Sus scrofa: one gene and its partner. The protein of the gene in region 1 interacts with the protein of each later gene in a pairwise test. Links are inferred from orthologs where the notes say so. Each region holds a gene or a part of one and is shown in the gene's direction. Other genes may lie near its edges.

Region 1 (3,821 bases):
TTCCATTGTGTATATGTACCACATCTTCTTCTTTTAATTAATTAATTTATTTTTTTTATTTTAGGGCCTCACCTGCAGCTTATGGAGGTCCCCAGGCTAGGGGTCAAATCAGAGCTATAGCCACTCGCCTATGCCACAGCCACAGCAGTGCCAGATCTGAGTCACGTCTGCGACCTATACCACAGCTCACGGCAATGCCAGATCCTTAACACACTGAGCAAGGCCAGAGATTGAACCTGCGTTCTCATGGATGCCAGTCATATTCATCTCCACTGAGCCACAGTGGGAACTCCTCCCTAAGCATTTTTGACTGCATTGTGAAAAGGAAATTTTAAGTGACTTCATTCTTTTTTTTCTTCCAACAATCTCATTAGAAATATCTTGTGTTTGGAGTTCCCATCGTGGCACAGTGGTTAACGAATCTGACTAGGAACCAGGAGGTTGTGGGTTTGATTCCTGGCCTTGCTAAGTGGGTTGGGGATCCAGTGTTGTGTGAGCTGTGGTGTAGGTCGCAGACTCGGCTCGGGTCCCGAGTTGCTGTGGCTGTGGTGTAGGCCAGTGGCTACAGCTCTGATTAGACCCGTAGCCTGGGAATCTCCATATGCTGCAGGAGCGGCCCTAGAAAAGGCAAAAAGACCAAAAAAAAAAGAAAAAAATATCTTGTGTTAGGATACTGTCAAGTTTGACTTGTGGTGGCAGATACAACTTTTTCAACATGTGAATTTTATCATTAGTAACAGACAGTCTTGTTTTTCTGGGAGTTCCTGTTGTGGCTCAGCAGAAACGAACCAGACTAATATTCATGAGGATGTGGGTTTGATCCTTGGCTTTGCTTAGTGGGTTAAGGATCCAGTGTTGCCATGAGCTGTGGTGTAGGTCGCAGACACGACTCAGATCCTGCATTGCTGTGGCTCAGGCCAGCAGCTGTAGCTCCAATAGGACATCTAGCCTGGGAATTTCCACGTGCCGCAAATATGGCCCTAAAAAGCAAAAAAAAAAAAAAAAAAAAAAAAACCAAAAAACAAGAGATTCATCCATTTAACATATATTTCTGGGGCACCATCTATATGCCAGTACTGTTCTTGGTGTTGGAGGTACCACAAAGAGCAGAATCTCTGCTCTCATTGAGTTTACCTTCAGGGGATGTGGGGAGCAGATAGGGCTTAAAACGTACAATTTTTGTAGTAAAATTATAAAACTTTTAATGCAAATTATTCTATCTTCACAGTCAGATATAATTACTTGTGCTCAAGAAGTGGAAATGATGATAAAGCAGTTAGGAGCCCAACTCGAACAATTAAAAATGACTGTAAAATCAAAGACGGCTGTTCCAACATCGCAAGTTTTTGTAAGTGTTTGCATCAACTTTGACCTTGTTTAAAGAAGGATAAGCTTTTAAGTCCTATGAAACTGAATCAGAAGCAGTTAAATTTAATTTATTTAATTTAATAAATTATTTTTAATTACTAAAGTATTTAAATACTAAAAATATAATATTAGTTTTATACAAGTTGATCCTTTTCTTTATGGCAGTTTTGTAGTAATAATCATAAAACCAGGATGTTACAAGTTGAATGAGTGGATTCTCTCAGTAGGTAATTGCTACTCGACAAAGTGCAGATATATATTAGAATAAGCATAATATCAGTGTTATCTGTGACCACAAAAATAATCCATAGTTCAGTGTTGAAAGCATGTTCATAGTAGTTGGTTAGAAATTGCCTTCTGCTTGGGGTTCCCATTGTGGTGCAGGGGAAATGAATCCGACTAGTATCCAAGAGGATCCAGGTTCAATCCTTGGCATCGCTCAGTGGGTCAGGGATCCAGCGTTGCCGTGAGCTGTGGTGTAATAGCAGATGTGGCTGGGATCCCTCCTTGTTGTGGCTGTGGTGTAGGCCTGGGAACTTCCATGTGCCTCGGGCATGGCCCTAAAAAGCAAAAAAAAAAAAAAAAAAAAAAAAAGAGAGAGAGAGAGAGAGAGAAATTGCCTTCAGCAAGGAGGTGATGTAATTTGTGACCTTTCTGAAAAGTCAGATAATAATCACCTTGTTTACCAAACCTGCACCTTTTCTGACTTTTTGATTATCTGCATCACCTACGGGCAAATCTGGGAGCCCCCCCAAAGTACAAGATGCACAAGCAGTATTTTATAGAGCATTTTGATTCTCTGATGATTTTATGTAATCATTCCCAATACTTTATTTTAAAATTCAAGGAACAAAAGGCTAAGTTGTTTCACTTACAAATAGGACCTTATTCATTTTTTATTTGTTGTATAAGTCAATGACTTTTAATGTGAAGAAAAAATACACTCACTGACAAAATCTTTAACTTGCAGCTCACAGGAAATGCCCCAAGGTATATCCCTAGACTTTCCAGGTTCTTTTGAATCATAATTGAGCTAGATAAATCTAATTATCATGAGTCATATTTAGCTTTTTTGAAAAAAAGAAGATATTTTTCCCTAGACCTGTTGAGGTGAAGTGTCCATAAATGTTTCTTGGGTGATCCCAAGTGTTTGGCTCTTTTGCATAAACTTACTTACTGACAATTACACAAGAAAAAAAAAAAGGTTTTGAAATACAATTTTATTTTCCCATAATTTATGAGTCCAGTTTCTACTGAGATTTTATTGTCTAACTTCATGAGACTTTGACTTGTCTTATGGGAGACTTAATCTCTTTACAAACAAACTTTGTATTTATTTTAAAGGGTAGAGTGATTTGTAATTTTGCTAAACAGTGACATTTTGAACATTTTTGTCTCTTCCTCAGCCCATCTTCATTGCCCTTTCCAATCTGTGGACTAGCTTCCAGGATGAAACTGTTTTGATTAGTGTCCTCAGTAATTTAACTACTCATCTCGAGCCATTTCTGGGTGCTCATGAATTATTCTTTCCTGAAAAAGTAATGCAAGATCTTCTTGACCGAGTGGCTGTGAAAACTGATGTGTGTAGAATCAAAGAACACATGGGTAACAGAAAGCATTCTTTTTCCTCTTAAATATACCCCTAGAATAAAGTCACTCTTTTGTTTTAAAAATTTCAGGTTCTATCTTTCTGATAAAGTTTTTTTTTAATGATACCTGCTGTGAGATTTTAATATTATCTTTTTTGGGAGGGGCACTCCTGAGGCCTCCAGGAGTTCCCAGGCCAGGGATTGAACCTGTGCCTCATCAATGACCTGAACATGGCCATGCCGGATCCTTAACCTGCTGAGCCACCAGGGAACTCCCTGAACATCTTTCTTGATTATAAGTCTATTGATGTTATAGAAAATGTGGAAAACAGAAAATATATAAACAGAATATTTTGCTCTCCAGCAGTAACTATTCCTGATCTTATTGCTAGTGTTTTGGTTAACAATGATTTTCTGTGCTTCTGGGTTTCTATCATAATCTTAGTGATTTTATTATTGGTTTGTAGTAGAAAAGGACATTAATCCATGCTATATTTGTTGCAAATGAATCTCCATTTCTTTGAAATGCCATTTGCCATATATCTACTCCAGATTCAGGTTGAAATTTATAAATCAATAAATGTTATCCTTGTAAAACTGAGCTTTTTTTTAGGCCCTTTAAGAGATTTATTGATTTCTTTTTGGGTCCTTTCTGTCTTAGTTAAAGACAACTGAAAATTCATGAGAAGGGGTTCCCGACGTGGCTCAGTGGTTAATGAATCTGACTAGGAGCCATGAGGTTGTGGGTTCAATCCCTAGCTTTGCTCAGTGAGTTAAGGATCCGGCCTTGCCGGTTGCTATGCCTCTGGTGTAGGCCGGTGGCTACAGCTCCGATTCGACCCCTAGCCTGGGAACCTCCATATG
Region 2 (3,821 bases), on another chromosome or scaffold:
TTCTCACTTTCTGCCCTTCTGTACCTGTTTCTGTTCCCCAATCATACAATAAAAGCTTAGTTGCATCTTTCATAAATTGAGCATAGGCAGTGGATTTTTCCTCTTTAGAAGTGGGGGATGAGAGATTTGCAGGAATTATTGAAAACTATTAACTTCAATTTTTTTCTTTTCTCATTACCATACTGTACTGTAGATCTAAAATTCTGTTCTTTACCTCATGTACTGAATAGGTAAAGCTAGCTGCTTTAACATGCCCTGAAACATAATGGTTTAAACAGAATCATGGTTTATTTTTTCTACCAACATAAACTCCAACATAGGCATTTCTGGCTTTCTTCCAAATAATTTATGGACACAGGTTTATTCTACCCTGTGGCTCTCTCATCCTTGATATGTAGCATCCATGTGTGTATGAACCTGCAGATGAGAAAAAAGCACGGAGGATCATGCCTGAGAGTTTTTTGTGGGCCAGTCTCAGAAGTGGTGCACAGCACTTTTACTTCCATTGGGTAGCCTGAGCAACGAGACCACTCCTAACTCCAGGGGAAGCTGGGAAATATAATCTAGCTGCATGCTAGAAGCAGAGAAAATAGGTGTCTGGGTGGTCTTTTCCATACTTTATCTACAGTTTGATACGTTAGAGCTCTTCCCTTTCTACAAGGTTTCTCTATATACTGACAGTTTATCAGTGATGACTAAATGTTGTAGACTTTAACCTCCTGTTTAGCAACCTGAATTTTGACTTTTAGGACATCTTCATTATACTTTCACATGGCTCTCTATGCATCTGATTTTTTTTTTTACCTCAGACCAAAATGATGTTTGACACATGTTAGTTGATTAGTGAATGTATGTTTAATTAAATGAGTGCATGATTTTAAAATCACCTCATGCCTCACTGGTAACCCTTCTTTCATAAAATATCTTTGGTAGAAAAGTACATTTGATAACAGCCAAAAGATGAGTCCCCTTCCTTCTTCAGTAATTGAAATAATATTGCTCTCTACAGCGCCTGTAATTTCTGTTTCCTTTGCCTAATAAGACCACACTTCTTTTTTTGAGGACTAAGAGCCCCTTGTACAGTACAGGGAAAAGAAATCTGTGTCAGAGGTAGATTTTAGGAGCAGATATTTTGGGTGCAATTCAGTGAATAAAGCTTTGAGAGATTTTAAAAGTCAGCCTGGCTTCAAAGTTGTTCTGAGGAGATTCCTCTTCTATCAGATCAGTTGTAGAGGTGCTATCAGCTATAGGCTTATTTGTTAGTTTGCTTTTTCTTTCATCTAGTTATAGCTTTCTTAACTGTTCTTAACCAGATTCTGTGCCAGGTAATGGGGATGTAAATGTGAATTAAACTGTTCCTGCTCTTAAGCCTCCAATTTTGTGATTGTGGAAATGGTGTCCGACCTGCACATTTACACTATTTTATGATATGGACTAGATTTATAGGACCAGAGGGTACATGAAAAAGGGAAATTATTTTATGTTTGATTAATCAGGAAAGGCTGAAGGCCTGTGTCTCACATATGGGAGGGCTAGTCCATGTAATCCCATTAACTAAGAATCAGGACAGCTTCATCAATACCCTGCTCCTGTGCTGCCTCTACTTCATTGGGTCAGAGACCATCTTCAAACAGGGAACTAAATCTAGTCACTTGTGATGGAAGATGATGGGTGGTAATGTGAGAAAAATGATGTATATATCTATGTGTGACTGGGTCACTTTGCTGTACAGTAGAAATTGACAGAACATTGTAAATCAACTATAACAGGGGAAACAAAAATCTTACAAAAAATAATATATCCTTTAATTCCCTACCTCCATGTTTAAGGAGAGGTATTATTTGCTTTATCTGCAGAGAAGGAAGGAGAGGAAGGTGTTACCTGGGCAGGGCTGAGAAAAGATCCACATTCCTTTCTGCCTCTGACAAAAACATTTCTAACCATAAGGTCTGTTCTTGGACTGCATCTTCTATATTAACAGAGACCTTACTGCACTGGAATAAACTAGATTCTCTCTGTATTTCTTTGGGAAAGTTTAAATTTAGTCTAAGTGAATAACTTAGCAACTCAGTCAGCAATCCTCTCTTCCTCAGGATCAAAAATATCAAATACATGATTATTTTACCTGCCTTTAAAAGTGCTGCTCTATGTGTCATGCCCTGCTGCAATAATATTCCTTTCTTATCCATTCCAAATTGTTGACCTATGGCAAGTCCTAGTCTCACTTGAGAATTTCCTTATGTATTCACATTGAAGTCAATAAAGCAAAATAATTTTACTGATTATTTCTTTAGTTTTTTTCAATTAAAAAATGAAATGTTGAGAATTCCCATTGTGGCTCAGCAGGTTAAGAACCTGAATAGTATCCATGAGAATGCAGGTCCAAGCCCTGGCCTTGCTCGGTGGGTTAAGGATCTGCCATTGCCACCAGCTGTGGTGTAGGTTGCAGATGTGGCTCAGATCTGGCAGTTGTTGTGGCTGTGGCATAGGCCGGCAGCTGCAGCTCAGATCTGACCCCTATCCCGGGAACTTCCATATGCCTATTCCGCAGATGCAGCCATAAAAATTAAAAAAAAAAAAAAAAAAAAAGAAATGTTGGAGTTTCCCTTGCGGCACAGTGGATTAAGAATATGACTTCAGCAGCTTGGGTCACTGTGAAGGTGTGGACTCCATCCCCAGCTTGATGCAGTGTGTTGAAGGATTCTGCATTGCCAGAGCTGTGGGGTAGGTTGCAGCTGTGGCTTGGATTTAATCCCTGGCCTGGGACTATGCCACAGGTGTAGTCATAAAAAATTAATTAATTAATTAATTTAAAGAATTAAATGTCATTCATAATTTAGCTTAATATAGGTATACAAAATAAAAGAAAAAATGACTCATACAACTACACTGAAACCTCTAGTAATACTTAAAATAAAATTAATATATTTAGAGAATAGAAAATTCAAATAGTAGCCATAGGTTTAAAGTGAAAGTCTGGCTTCTCATGGCCCTGTCTTCTCTTCCAGATGAATACTCTTTAAAAGTAAGCACCATCAGTAGTTTCATATTATTTCCTTAGAAATGTTTATGTATAAATACCAGCATTTGTGTATATTTTGTCTTTTACTCAATCAGTCATTTTATTCATCCAAAAAATATTTGTTAAGGGACTGTTCTGTGCTAGGCAGTATCTTGAGCCTTGGGGAAACAATAGTGAACAAAAGAGAAAAGGTTTCTCCTCTTAGGACACTTAGAATCTAGGTGAGAAAGAGAGACAGGAATGTAAAATAAAGCATGGGATCGTTTCAGTTCAAAATGTTATTAAGGAAATAGGGTGGTGGTGCTCTTACATAAGGTGGTTAGTGAAGGCTTCTGCTTCTACAGTTTATTGTATTCTACTGAACAAAGTAGAATAGGGAGTGACTCAATTCACGCCTGACCTATGTTATTTTTTTTTTCTGAAGGTGAAGCTCCACCTGCCATCCAGCTGCCCACACCAGCAGTCCAGCGCCCAAGTCCCATCACACTTTTCCAGCCCAGTGTCTCCACTGCCCAGGTGGCTGTCCAGGCTCCAAGTCTGCCCCTCCGTCCAGCACTCCCACCCCAGCGCTTTGCTGGGCCCTCCCAAACGGACACTCATCGGCTGCATTCTGGAGCCAGTTGCTCTGTGAAGAGACCCACTCCTGTCTCTCCGGAAAGCACCAGTAGGATTCCAACTAGTGCAAGTACTGCCCATGCCAGATTTGCATCCTCAACCATCCAGCCTCCCAAGGAGTATCCCAGCGTTTCTACTTGTCCCAGAAGTGCTCCAATCCCCCAGCCTCCTCCTATTCCACACT

What was found.
Region 2: the proteins of CFAP206 (region 1) and SOX30 interact in binary tests that used the Homo sapiens proteins (3 or more experiments, as listed by UniProt). The two-hybrid records come from large-scale screens. The link is inferred for Sus scrofa from reciprocal best matches to the Homo sapiens genes CFAP206 and SOX30.

What each region holds. Positions count from the first base shown.
Region 1 is NC_010443.5:55,834,696-55,838,516, forward strand, and holds part of CFAP206 (cilia- and flagella-associated protein 206), read left to right. Parts: intron 1-1,228; coding exon 1,229-1,348; intron 1,349-2,774; coding exon 2,775-2,973; intron 2,974-3,821. UniProt on the Homo sapiens protein: Essential for sperm motility and is involved in the regulation of the beating frequency of motile cilia on the epithelial cells of the respiratory tract. Required for the establishment of radial spokes in sperm flagella.
Region 2 is NC_010458.4:65,651,798-65,655,618, forward strand, and holds part of SOX30 (transcription factor SOX-30), read left to right. Parts: intron 1-3,446; coding exon 3,447-3,821. UniProt on the Homo sapiens protein: Acts both as a transcriptional activator and a repressor. Binds to the DNA sequence 5'-ACAAT-3' and shows a preference for guanine residues surrounding this core motif. Binds to its own promoter and activates its own transcription.